2 linked regions of the Sus scrofa genome follow. The main gene of each other region encodes a partner of the protein of the gene in region 2 in a complex. Links are inferred from orthologs where the notes say so. Each region holds a gene or a part of one and is shown on either strand. Other genes may lie near its edges.

What was found. Proteins that work in one complex are often made in the same cells at the same time.
Region 1: the proteins of INTS11 (region 2) and WDR73 are in contact, whole or in part, in a cryo-EM structure (PDB 8R22), measured with the Homo sapiens proteins. The link is inferred for Sus scrofa from reciprocal best matches to the Homo sapiens genes INTS11 and WDR73. Residues at the interface, in NP_060341.2 of Homo sapiens: Tyr206, Thr208, Thr209, Ile210, Arg211, Asp212, Ser213, Arg215, Cys216, Arg217, Glu218, Arg219, Asp220, Leu222, Lys223, Lys224, His226, Phe255, Arg258, Met259, Leu364, Val384, Glu385, Tyr386, Ser388, Lys418, Lys419, Glu421, Phe422, Gln425; in NP_116245.2 of Homo sapiens: Asp5, Asp6, Leu8, Val9, Ser11, Leu12, Tyr15, Gln16, Phe18, Tyr19, Ala20, Phe21, Asp22, Leu23, Glu50, Leu52, Arg59, Leu68, Phe69, Pro70, Glu71, Arg72, Asp73, Phe74, Lys75, Val76, Gly79, Phe81, Asp116, Ser117.

Annotation. Positions count from the first base shown.
Region 1 is NC_010449.5:52,899,543-52,905,552, reverse strand, and holds the end of WDR73 (WD repeat-containing protein 73), read right to left. Parts: intron 5,753-6,010; coding exon 5,588-5,752; intron 5,273-5,587; coding exon 4,913-5,272; intron 3,440-4,912; coding exon 3,204-3,439; 3' UTR 1,406-3,203; downstream 1-1,405. UniProt on the Homo sapiens protein: Component of a multiprotein complex required for the assembly of the RNA endonuclease module of the integrator complex. Associates with INTS9 and INTS11 in the cytoplasm, stabilizing the INTS9-INTS11 heterodimer and blocking the active site of INTS11.
Region 2 is NC_010448.4:63,603,684-63,610,376, reverse strand, and holds the start of INTS11 (integrator complex subunit 11), read left to right. Parts: upstream 1-2,473; 5' UTR 2,474-2,596; coding exon 2,597-2,624; intron 2,625-5,284; coding exon 5,285-5,382; intron 5,383-5,640; coding exon 5,641-5,714; intron 5,715-6,581; coding exon 6,582-6,693.

The DNA of each region.
Region 1 (6,010 bases), on a different chromosome or scaffold from region 2:
TCAACGTGAATACCTGGTTCTCTTTGGGCTTCTTTAGAGTTTCTCTGGGACATCTTCCTGGGATTGCTGAAAGAACCCCAGGATTTCCTTCCTGTAGAAGGTGTCAATTCTGAAAAAAGCATTTTGAGGAGTACCCATTATGGTTCAGTGGGTTAAGAACCCAACTATCCATGAAAATGCAGGTTCAATCATTAATGTATATTTTCAAGAAAATTAACTATCTTAAGATTTTCAAATCAACATCATTGTGCTCACTATTGTTTTTCTTCTTTTTTTTTCGGTTTCACCTGCAGCATTTGGAAGTTCCCAGGCCAGGGGTGGAACCCCCACAGCAGCAACCCAAGCCACTGCAGTGACAAATCCATAACCCACTGCACCACAAGGGAACTCCTGTGCACAGTCTTTTAATATTTGTTTTCCAGATCTGTTGTGACAGCCTTGTTCTGTTTTCTTTAATCATTTCTTTTCCTTTTTCTTGCTTAATTTATAGAAGTTCGGCTGTCATTTGCCTGTGTGTCCCCAGATCCATCCCAGGTCTGCCCCCTGCTCACTGCGTTTCCCAGGCTCTCTTAGTGACAAGCTCCTGACAGGTTTGGTCCATGGTACAGGCAGGATATCTGAAGGAGAGAAGTCTGGGGTTTCTTCCTCTGTACTTCTGCAGTCTGCAGCCGTTTCCTCTACTGTCTCGGCACCTGCTAGGCAGCCCCTGCCCACAGCCCAGCCCCAGCCAGACAGGATTACTGTGCTCACTTCCCACCAGGAGGCCCATTCCTGGGCTCTGGTCACACCCAGCCAGCACCTTCTTTAGGGCTTTCCTTCCCTTGCCTCCTCCTTCAGACACCACATAATGACATCCCTCCCGGGAGTTCCTGTCATGGCGCAGTGGTTAGTGAATCTGACTAGGAACCGTGAGGATGTGGATTGGATCCCTGGCCTTGCTCAGTGGGTTAAGGATCTGGCGTTGCTGTGAGCTGTGGTGAAGGTTGCAGACACAACTCAGATCCTGTGTTGCTGTGGCTGTGACCTAGGCTGGCGGCTACAGCTCCAATTCGACCCCTAGCCTGGGAACATCCACATGCCGCAAATGCAGCCCTAAGATGCCAAAAAAAAAAAAAAAAAAAAAAAAAGGAAAAGAAAGAAATTCTATGCAGCAGGATGCAGATTCACTTTCATGTTTGCTACAGGCCCAGGGATGGGAAAGTACCACCCTGGGGAGAGTCGGGTTCCAGTGAGAGCCCGGGGTAGGGAGGCCAGTCTCTGCCTGAAGGCCCAGCGCCGCAGGTGTTACTGGTGAGGATGCCCATGTCCCCACCTTGGCTGTTAGCACCTTTAAAAACAGCCGCCCCAAACTTTTAAATATATGAAGAGTCTCAACTTCGCACATAAGAGAAATGCAGACTAAAAGTACAAATAATGATTTTTTTATTTATCAGACTGGCACAAGTAAAAAAGCCACTAAAGGGACTGCTGTTAAGGTAAGAGAAACAGATCATTACTATTGCTGTCATAATGTGGCACAATCTCCACAGAGGGCATTTGGACAGTATTTATAAACACTAAAAATGCACACATCCTCTGCCTCAGCAATTTTATATATCTATATCTACACACACACATACTATACATATAGGGGGTCGAATCGGAACTGTAGCCACCAGCCTGTGCCACAGCCACAGCAACACCAGATCCGAGCTGTATCTGCGACCTACACCACAGCTCATGGCAACGCCAGATCCTTAACCCACCAAGTGAGGCCAGGGATTGAACCTGTGTCCTCATGGATGCTAGCTGGGTTCACTAACCACTGAGTCATGACAGGAACTCCAATATATTTATTTAAATATATATATATAGTTTTTTTTTTAGGGCCCCACCTGCGGCATATGGAAGTTCCCAAAGGAGGGGTCAAATTAGAGACACAGCTCCTGGCCTGTGCCACAGCCACAGCCACAGCCACATGGGATCCAATCTGCTTCTCTACCCATGCTGCACCTTGCAGCAATGTTAGATCCTTAACCCACTGAGTGAGGCCAGGGATTGGATCTGCATCCTCACGATACTAGTTGAGTTCATTACCACTGAGCCACAAGGGGAACTCCCAGAATTTTATTTTTAGAAATGTCATGGATACAAAAGTTGTACATATTACTGAAAAAGATTAGAAAATTTTAATTGCCATTTAACAGGAGCCTGGATATATAAATTATGCTTCAACTACACAACAGTTCATCACACAACTGGGATAAAGAACCATGCTGTTCCTTTGTGCCTTCTGAACTGTGTACCTTGTAACCTCTATCAGCTGTTGAGAGCAAAAATGTTTTATTTATTTATTTTTCTCTTTTCGGCCATGCCTGTGGCATGCAGAAGTTCCCAGGCCAGGGATCAAACCTGCACCACAGTAGTGACAATGTCAGATCTTAACCTGATGCACCACCAGAGAACTCCAAAGATGTTTTAAAATTTGACATTTAGTAGGCAAAAATGGCATAATCTTAACTATTTCCTTTACTGCCACTGGGGTTGACTTTTCATGTTCATTTGCCCATTTTTAGTTCTTTAAAAAATTCACAGGAGTTCCCGTCATGGCTCAGTGGTTAACAAATCCGACTAGGAACCATGAGGTTGCGGGTTCGGTCCCTGCCCTTGCTCAGTAGGTTAACGATCCGGCGTTGCCGTGAGCTGTGGTGTGGGTCGCAGACGTGGCTCGGATCCCTCGTTGCTGTGGCTCTGGCTTAGGCCGGCGGCTACAGCTCCGAGTTGACCCCTATTCTGGGAACCTCCATATGCCACAGGAGAGGCCCTAGAAAAGGCAAAAAGACAAAAAAAAAAAAAAAAAAAAAAAAAAAAAAAAATCACAGGACCTGTTTACATTCACTAACTCTTTAGATTGTATGATATTGTGAATACAGACAGGGGTAAAACTTGAGGGAAACGGGGCTCCCAGATCTAACAGTAGCCACCAAACATGTATTGTGCCATGCACCCTACCCATTATTTTTAAATATGTTACTTCTAACTTTCCCAACAACCCTGCCAGACAGTTGATGACCAATCTCATTTTACAAAGAAAGAAAGTGGGGCCAGGAGGCTGGTTAACTTGCCCATGGCCACTCAGCTGGAACAGGGCCCTGTGGTCACTTGAATCCTTGCTATCCAGCAGCACCTCCTCTTCCCAGGGCCCGGGTGGAAAGATGCTCGTGTCAGTGCGAAGCACGGAGGTCCACCCAGTCCCACACGTGCAGTGAGGCATCACTTGCTGCCGACAGCAAAGTCCTTGGTTTGCAGGGGTGCCAGGTATGGGTGGTGACCAGTGGAGCAGTGTCTACGCCACTGTCATCTAGGAAGATGTGACCTCTGTGAGTGAAGAGAGGTTCCACTTGGCCCCCCACTCCATTCCAAGACGTGACATCATAGACCTGGACCGTCCCATCAAAACCTGAGGAAGGAAAAAATAAAAATCATTAAAAACAAAACAAAAAAACCTGAGGAAAAAGAAGAAAAGGGAGCACTGACACTGAATCCCTGGAGTAATTTTCATAATTTGCTCTATGGAACCCAAACTGGCTACAGGATAAAAAAATCAAATAGTAATGAGATATTTAAAGGCCAACGACAGAGCATGTAACATCCAGCCTCAGTGTCGGCAGCTGATGACACTATGGGGCAGGGGACGGTGAGCACCTGTCAGCCATCTGCTATGTGCCAGGCCCGAGGCTAATCCTGCATTCACTCTTTTAGTCCTCACAGCTGCATGAAGCAGGTACTGTTATTTTCCCCAAGAAACTGAGCTTTAAGAGACTTTTTTTCCTTTTCTTAAGGGCCACACTTCTGGCATATGGAGGTTCCTGGGCTGGGGTCGAATCAGAGCTGCAGCTGCCAGCCTCCACCAAAGCCACAGCAACACCAGATCAGAGCTGCCAACTTACACCACAGCTCATGGCAATGCTGGATCCTTAACCCACTGGGTGAGGCCAGGGGTGGAACCTGCATCCTCACGGATACTAGTTGGGTTCTTAAACCGCCGAGCCACAATGAGAACTCCCTTAAGGGACATCTCAAACCCTTTCCACTTGCCCCCAAATTTCTAATCCCTCTGTACTGAGTCCCTCTCAACAGATGTCCCTCTCAACAGATGGCCGTGTCTCCTATTTGATGGGGAAGCAGGAACCTTTAAGGAGGAATAGCCAAGCTTGGTTCTTCTCATCTGGATCCTGCTATTACTAATGATCTTTCCTGCTCTCTCAACTATTCTTTCTACCTCTCCCCCTCTAGGAGTTCCCACTGTGGCCCAACAGGATCAACAGTATCTTGGGAGCGCTGTGATGCAGGTTCGATTCCGGGCCCAGCACAGTGCATTGCCACAGCTGTGGTGTAGGTTGCAACTGCGGCTTGGGTCTGATCCCTGGCCTGGGAACTCCATATGCCTTGGGGTGGCCAATAATAATAATAAAAAATAAAAAAACCTCTCCCCCTCTCAGAGGATCCTTCCGTTGGCTTTTTGATACTTCATTCAATACCCTCATTCAGCTAGATGCTGCCAGGCCAGACCCAGAAGCCTGCTGACTTAGCTGGCTTGCTCTACTTTTGAAAGCGAGTGGACTGAGACGCACCCCTGAGGTCCTATCACCCCTGCCTGCTGCACCCCATGGCTGTTCTAGGCCTCTTGACCAACCTCAGAATTGAATTTCTGCTGGGACAGAAAGGCCTGCCGCCAAGGTATGGAAGTTTGGTAGCCGGATGGGGAAGAGCCAGCACTGAAGGACCTGGAGAGCTACACTGGAGCATTTCCAAGCTACTTTAACCTCTTAGGCCAGATTTATTGTGGGGCTACAGGCCCCTTCCTGAGCACCCTAGAGTACCCTGGGAGAGACAGATCCAAAGACAGACACGAGATCCTGCTCAGCAGTACCTGAGATAGCCAAGCAGTTGTCTAGGCCTGGAGCCCAAGTCACTCGCAGCAGCTCTGGGTCAGGGCTGGGTGTGGACACTGGGCACTGGACTGAGCTCACAGGCTGGCTGAGATCCCGCAGGTCAAGAAGACAGAGCTGCCCGTCCGAGCCAAGGCTGGCGATGCGAGGCCCAGGGCCCCGGCCGCCGACTTCTGCATACCACCTCCCTCCAGCGGACCCAGGGCTGGGCCTGAGGTTCTCTGATGGGGCCCACTTCTGGCGGGTGTCAACAAGGCCCAGGCGGCCTGAGGTGCAGCAGAAGGCAAAGGTGTTTGCATCCAGGACCTGCAGGCTACTCAGCAGCTCATCCTCGCTAATACCTGGACAATGGGGCAAAAGAGAAACTGCTGCAGTCACATGGGGCTGGTGATTTGGTCGGGCTGGCGGGTCACAAGTCCCTTCGTCCGAGAAGCTCCCCCCTAGCCCCAGGCAAAATGAACCACTCAGCTGGCTGTGTGCTGGTCCCAGGACCTGCCACCCCCAAGCCAGAACAGGGGCCCTGGAGTCCAGGCCTGGCCCTCCCTCATCCTGCTTCCCCAGCCTCTGGCACACAGGGTGGGGTTTTGTTTCCAGCATGGCTGAGTGGGGCTGGGAGGTGGACACTGGCTGGACGAGCCACCAAGGGGCCATGGTACCTGAGGTGTATGTGCTCTTGTGCGACTCCAGGTCCACCACCTTCAGGCTGCTAAGCCTCGCCCCGTGGAGGACCCCAGGCGCCGGAGACGAGAAGATGGCCAGCCTGGGCCAGGGATGTCCCTCCTTCTCATGTGCATCGATGGTGCTGACAGCTTTAATGACATCTGGGGGGCAAGTGGAAGAGGCTGAAGTCTAGAATGTTGATGCTGGTTTGCAACCTTACCTGGGGGAGGCCGGCCAGAAGGCCAGGGGAGAAAAGGAGCTGACAGCGGGCAGGAGAGGATGTGGAGACACAAACACTCTGCATTCTGTTCACATTTGCGGAACTGTCAGACGTGCTCTAATTTCTTTATAATTTGTCTTATGATGAACTGTCGTGCACATGGGAGAAAATGAATCACTGCAGCCATTTCAAAAAAGCC
Region 2 (6,693 bases):
GCCCTGTGCCCACCTTGCTCTGCTCGTGCTACACACTCGCAGACATACTGAGCCCTGCTGTGCCCTTTGCCAGGCGCTCGGCCCACAGTGCCACACAGCCCGTCACTCAGGCTTGTCAACCCCCTGCCACACCTCACTTGGGACAGGCGTCTCTGTGCTCAGGTTGTTGGGTTTTTTTTCTTCTCCTTTTTCAGCCACACCCAAGGTGCGCCGAAGTTCCTGGGCCAGCAACCGAATCCGAACATGCACCTGTGGCCTACGCCACAGTGGCAGCAACGCCGGATCCTTAATCCCCCGCACTGGGCTAGGGATTGAACTGGCACTGCCACAGAGACGAGGCTGGTCATTAGCCCACTACGCCGCGGCGGGAGTTCCGGCTCAGGTTTTCTTGCTGACTTGTTTATAGTCTCACTCCCCCCCTCCCCCATTTGTCTGTTCCTACAGCTGGAGAAGTATTTGCCGAGTCCTCACTCCGAGCCAGGCACGCACTGGGTGCTCTGTGAGTGACACCAAGAGCCTGGCCCCACTGGGGCGACATCCAAGTGGCAGGGCAATGTTTGTGTCGGGTAACAACAAAGGCAGGAAGTTCCAACATGACAGGTAGAAGGACAAGCCCCATGGAGAGACAGACTGTGGACGGAGGTGGGAGGGCCATGCCCTTCCCTGCTTGAAGCTGCATCCCAACAACCAGAGCAGAGGCTGCAGGGTCAGTGTTTGTGGACAGCTAGACAGACATCAGCCTTTCACTCCTATGGTAACTGCACACGCCCCACACAGGAGGGACCAAAGGTCCCTGCACCAAAGGTCTTCCCACTCTCCGAAGGCAGCCCTAGGCCCTCCCTGAGCCCCAGGGAATCCAGAAGGGCCCCAGGCTAGAGTCCTGCTCTGGGTTCTGCTGGCATTCATAAAGTCACTCCAGGAGTTCCTGCTGTGGCTCAGCAGTAATGAACCCGACTGGGACCATGAAGACACAGGTTTGATCCCTGGCCTCGCTCAGTGGGCTGAGGATCTGGTGTTTCAGTGAGCTGTGGTGTAGGATGCAGTTGTGGCTTGGATTCCGCCTTGCTGTAGTGTAGGCCAATTTGACCCCTAGCCTGGGAATTTCCATATGCCGCAGGTGAGGCCCTAAAAAGCAACAAACAAACATATAGTCACTCCACAAACATCCCAGTGCCCACATGTTACTGGATACCTCTGGGCACCCTGTGCCATGCTTCCCTGTGGTGTGGCTCCGACAGGCCCTGGGGACCCAGCTGTATCTCACGTCAAGTCCAGGACAAGCTCTTGTCCCTTTGGGCCTGGGGGGTTCCTGTACCCTTGGTGCTGGGAGCTCTGGGAGCCAGGCATGGGAGGGCAGCCGTCCAAGCTGTGGTGAGAGCCCAGCCAGGAGAGCACACCTGGATGCCTGGGCAGATCACACACTCTCCTAAAACCCCGCCCTTCATCTTCGGGGAGAATGGGCCAGCACACCCTGCCCTGCCCAGCATCTGGACTGCTGAGAGCATCTGATGGGGCCCAGGGGTTGCTGAGGCCCTGCAGGCCCCACAGGCTTGGCTGCAAGCCTGATGCCAGGCCCAGTGCTCGGAGGTGAGCTCACCCTGTGTTCAGGTGTGGGAGACAGCCATGCCTGGCCTCAGGAAGAGGACACTCCAGAGACTTCCAGAGACTCCCTCTCTCAGGGCTTCGGTTTTCTGTCCACGGAGCAGATGGCCTCTGAGGCCCTCAGGGCTCCCTTCCTGGTCACCAGACATCCTGTGGGCCTGGCCTTCCTGCCCAGAACCTGAGCCAGCAGCTAACTGGAGGTGCCAGGAGTCTTTCAGAGCTTGAAAACAACAGGAAGGGCAGTGGCCATGCAGCCGGGGCGGGCAGCATGCCAACTCTGGGAAGGTGATGCAGGGCACCGCCAAGGCTCCCCCAGAGGCAGCCCAGGCCCCAAGGTCAGGGCTCATCTTGAGGCCGGCATGAGCACCGGAGCCCTGTGGCTGACAGCAAGGAAAATGGGGCAGTCCTCCAACACCTCAGGTCCAGAGGGTGTGAGCCAGGCCCTGTCCAGGAAGTCCTGCAAATCTCGCCTGGGAAGGAGGCTCCAGGTGGCGCTGGGCTGGAACGCGAGATCCCCGACCAGGTGGGGTCCCCAACCTGGGCAGGTCCTGCTCCAGCTGAGGCCCAGGGATGGGACAGGGACCCCGGGTCCGGGCCGGTGCGGGAGGCAGGTCCTCGGCCGCCCTCTCCCGCGGTCCCACGGCAAGGTCCAGGCCCACCCGCCGGGTTCGGTTGGGCTGGGTTTCCCCGCCACCGACTGCAGCTCGTTTCTACCCGCTCACCTGCGCCGCCGCCGCCGCTCACCTGCGCCGCCGCGGCCGCCCCAGGTCCCGCTGCCCCGCCCCCGGCCCCCGCCCCACCGCCCAGGATTGGCTGCCATCCGCCCAATCAGAAGGCCCAACGCGCCCGCCCGCGCTTCCGTGGAGCGCACCGGAAGCTGGCGCAGTTGAGGCTGCGTCTGCGCAATGTGTCGCCTCCAGTCAGTGCGCGTGGCCGCAGCAGGGGCTCGGCGCCGGGGTCTGGCGGGGCGGCGGTAGTCCCACCATCGCTCAGGATGCCCGAGATCAGGGTCACGCCCCTGGGTGAGTGCGGCGCGGGCGGTCTGGTGCGTGCGGCGCGGCAAGAGCGCGCAAGGAAGGCGAGTGGGAGGCTCGACGGGCCGGGGACCCCCGCAGTCTCGTCGCCCCCCCCCCCCCCGCGCGCCGGTGCTTCAGGGCGCCTTCGCTGCTGTCTCTGCTTCCTCGCCACTCCCTGCCCATCCCCGTCCCCCGTCTGTCTGGCGTCCGCTTTCCTGCAGCCTCCGTGTATCTATCTGCAGTCCACCCGCCCGACCTTGTTTTATGTGGTTGCTGCAACATTAAGGTAACTTTGCTTTTCGCAAAAGATGTAAGTGCACAGTTTAAAGGCCCAAAAGGTACAAAACAGTGCGAAGGAGGAAGGATCACTCAGAATCCCGCGTCTTAGAAACAGCCGAAGTTATCATTTTCATGGTCAACTCTCCAGCTGCTGCTGCCTCGCCTCCCTGCGCACCTGTGGGGTCTGTGCTGGAAGCTGCCTCCTTCCCCGGGGCGTGCGCTGGGAGCATCTTCCGTAGACCGTCCCCCGAGCTCCACATCCTTTCTTCTGTGGTGAGCTCTCCCTCAGAATAGCCCACCCAGCCCCCAGTGTGGACACAGAGCTCTTGGCAGTTGCAGTGAACACCCTTGCCCCTGGCCTGCTGGGTCAGAGCGCACATCTCACCCAGCCATAAGTGTCCTCACCTGCGTGGCCTCTCCTAGCTGTTGGCTCAGGGTCCCCTCTGGCTGCTTCAGCCCCATGCCCTCCCCGCCTCTGCAGATTCTCCTTCCCGCCTGACCCTTTTCCATGTAGTTCCTCTTCTCACCGCTCATTCCTGAGCAGTCCTATCTTTTTAGTGCTTTTTTTTTTTTTTTTTTTTTTTTTAAACCCCAGATCTGCACCTGGAGTGCCCTCAGTGTCACTTAACCTTGGCACCATCAGAGCAGAAATACGTTGCCAGTTTCTGCCTCAGAGGGTCCCTGGTCACTGGGCCAGATACAGAGAGCCCTCCCGGATCCCTCCTACCACAGGGCTTTTGCACAGCTGCCCTCCCATCCCACGGTCCTTCTCCAAACTACTCGGAATTCGTCTTCTCAGGGAGGATGTGCCCATCCGTTTCCCTGTCTTACTGTTTCCTGAGGAGGCGCTCATCTCATCTGGTGCAGACTTCTCTAGGTGGTCACTGTGTCCTCGCCCTGAAACCCCAGCTCCCTGTGGGCACAGTGTCTGCTTTGTCCCCACCTCCCCACCCTCCTGCGCACCCTAAGCTCTGTTCCGCAACCCTTCCCTGCCCAGTTCTGGCCACTTTCCTTGCTCCCTGGGATTGTTGTGGGTCCTGTTGGGAGCAGGCAGCCCATGCCCAGGAGCAGAGCTCTGGAGTCCACAAAACTGTCACACGTGCCCATGGGCTGCTCCATGACTTCACACCCTTGTCTGTGAAGGGGGGACCCTTCCCCTCCCATAAATTCTGCAGTACCTTGGAGCTGGTCATGGCTTGGGGCTTGAGGTGCAGCAGGAAGCAGGCAGCTGAGCCCTGCCCTCGGGAACTCATGGTGGAGGCAGGAGCAGGCCTGTGGGGGACTGCGAGGCCACTGCCTGTGGCTGGGCTGCCCGAGGCCCACAGGCCGAGCTCGTGGCTGCCATCGCCTTGTATTGTCATGGGTGACTGAAGCTTTCTGAGGACCAGCCTGTGTCCTGCTTTGGGCTGTGGCCTGGTCACTCTGGTGGACGCAAGGTTCAGGTGGCCACAGAAGGAGGCTGGTCAGATTCAAGATGAAAGGCAGGTCATTTGCTGTCATCAGGCCTTGCAAGACTGTGTCCCTTTCCTTCTGGGCCTCCAGACTCCAGAGGAGGTGACAGATGGCCATATCAGGGGGCTGGGATGTGCCCCACTGGGGTTGGAGCATCTCGGTAGGGCTTGGAGATCAGGAACGTGAATGGGACTCAGATTACAGTCTGGGCTGGTGCTGCCCCGAGAGGGCACAGCACTGGGGGCTTTTGTCATTTGGGGACATGGGGCCACATAAAGCCACATGGCATCCCTCTGCAGTGGCACCACCAGGAGGGGCTGGCACCTCTTGGGGGCAGGGGCCCCGCAGCTCAGATGTAGCCCTGGCTTTGCGTGTGTTGAGTGCTGGGACCACAGTGCAGCACCCGATACTCAGCTCTTGGTCTCAGGATGTGGGTGTCTGCTGCGGGTGGGTTGCTGCCTCAAGAGGGGACTGATGAGTTCCTGTCTGGGCACAGTGGTCACGAACCTAAGTAGTAACCACGAGGACTCAGGTTCGATCCCTGGCCTTGCTCAGCGGGTGAAGGAGCCGGTGTTGCTGTGAGCTGTGGCGTAGGTCAGGTGCTGCAACTCCGATTCCACCCCTAGCCTGGGAACTTCCGTATGCAATGGGTGTGACCCTAAAAAGCAAATAAATAAATAAAAAGAGGTGAATGGCAGGGCCTGAGGCTGGAGGCCCTGTGGGGAAGGGCCTGTGGTGGCCTTGGCGCCTTGCGGCTCTCCCACCCCGGGTGTTTCTCTTGTCTACGTGCGGAGGTGCTGTCCCCTCAGCTCGTCTACACAGCCGTCACAGGTCAGCCGGAGCGCTCAGGGGGTCTGGAGCAAGTGGAGGGCATCCTTCAAGGGCGGGGGTGAGGGAAGGGCATGGCAGCACCTTTCCCGCTTCCCCCTGTGCAGGAGCCGGCCAGGATGTGGGCCGAAGCTGCATCCTGGTCTCCATCGGGGGCAAGAACGTCATGCTGGACTGCGGGATGCACATGGGCTTCAGTGACGACGTGAGTCCCGCGGGCGGCCGCCCGGCACCCTGCCCGCTCCTGCGCGCCATTGGCAGCAGGACCGGGCCCAGGGGGTCAGGCCCTGAGCCCTGGAGGGGGGGCCGTCTGGGCAGGTGGGCGTTGGTGGGAGGCCGGTGGCTCTGAGGTCACTGCATTCCCGGCCTCCCGCCCCCACCGTCCCTGGGGGTGGCCATGGAAGTCCCGGGTCTTGGGCCTGCTTCGGCCTGATGCTCCCCACCCCCCACCGCCGCTCTGCAGAGGCGCTTCCCTGACTTTTCGTACATCACCCGCCACGGCCGGCTGACCGACTTCCTGGACTGCGTGATCATCAGGTGGGCTCCTGGCACTGCCGGCTGGACTGTGTGCCGCCCGCGTCGCCTCTCTGGCTTGCCCCTGGGGCTGGCGCGCTGCATCCTGGCCCCCGTGGGTCCTAGGTGTTTGCCCTTGGGTGGTGGGGCGCTCCGCGCAGGGCATGCTTAAGCCGCTTCTTGGGCCTCCTCTCCCTTAGCCACTGATGCCAAGGCAGCGACCACCTACCCCCCTGCCAGCCCTTGACCTCACGGGCCCTCCCAGGGTCCTCACCCGCTCTTCCCCTGCCTCCCTTCCCAGCTGCGTGGGGCACCCCCCCCCCCCGGCAGTACACATCCGTTTCTGGGATGCAATGACCCTGGCCTTTGCCACGTGGCCTAGGGGAGCACAGTGGCCTCCTGCTAGTCCCCACCTGCAGCCCAAGGACCCGCCAGCCTGGGGCAGCTGCATTTCCAGCCGCTCTGGAGGCCCTGTGGTCTCGGTCCCTCCTCCGAGGTGGGCTCACCTGGTGTGTCCACTCCTCCTGAGGGTGGGCGCAGCGCTGCTGTTCCCTCCACCCCACTGCCTTTCCAGGCCTCCTCCAGGTGCCACCCCCTGGGTCTGCCTGACCACCTGCCCCGGCCCCTTCTGACCTGCGGCCCCTGAGCACCTTTCTGTTGCTCTTGGACTGTAACGCTGTCTGGCACCTGCAGGACTGCCTGCTGTTGCTTCTCTAGACATTCAGGCACCGAGTCCCAGGCCCGTGGTGGTCTGTCCTCTCGCTCTCACCCTTGGGGCCTGGGGCGGCACCTGACGCGCAACAGCCCCGGAGGAACGAGAGCGTGGTCGCCCTGAGCTAGAGCTGGTACGGCGGGGCCGGGGGCCTGGGCTGATCGGCGCTGTGCCCCCAGCCACTTCCACCTGGACCACTGCGGGGCGCTCCCCTACTTCAGCGAGATGGTAGGCTATGACGGGCCCATCTACATGACGCAGCCCACGCAGGCCATCTGCCCCATCCTGCTG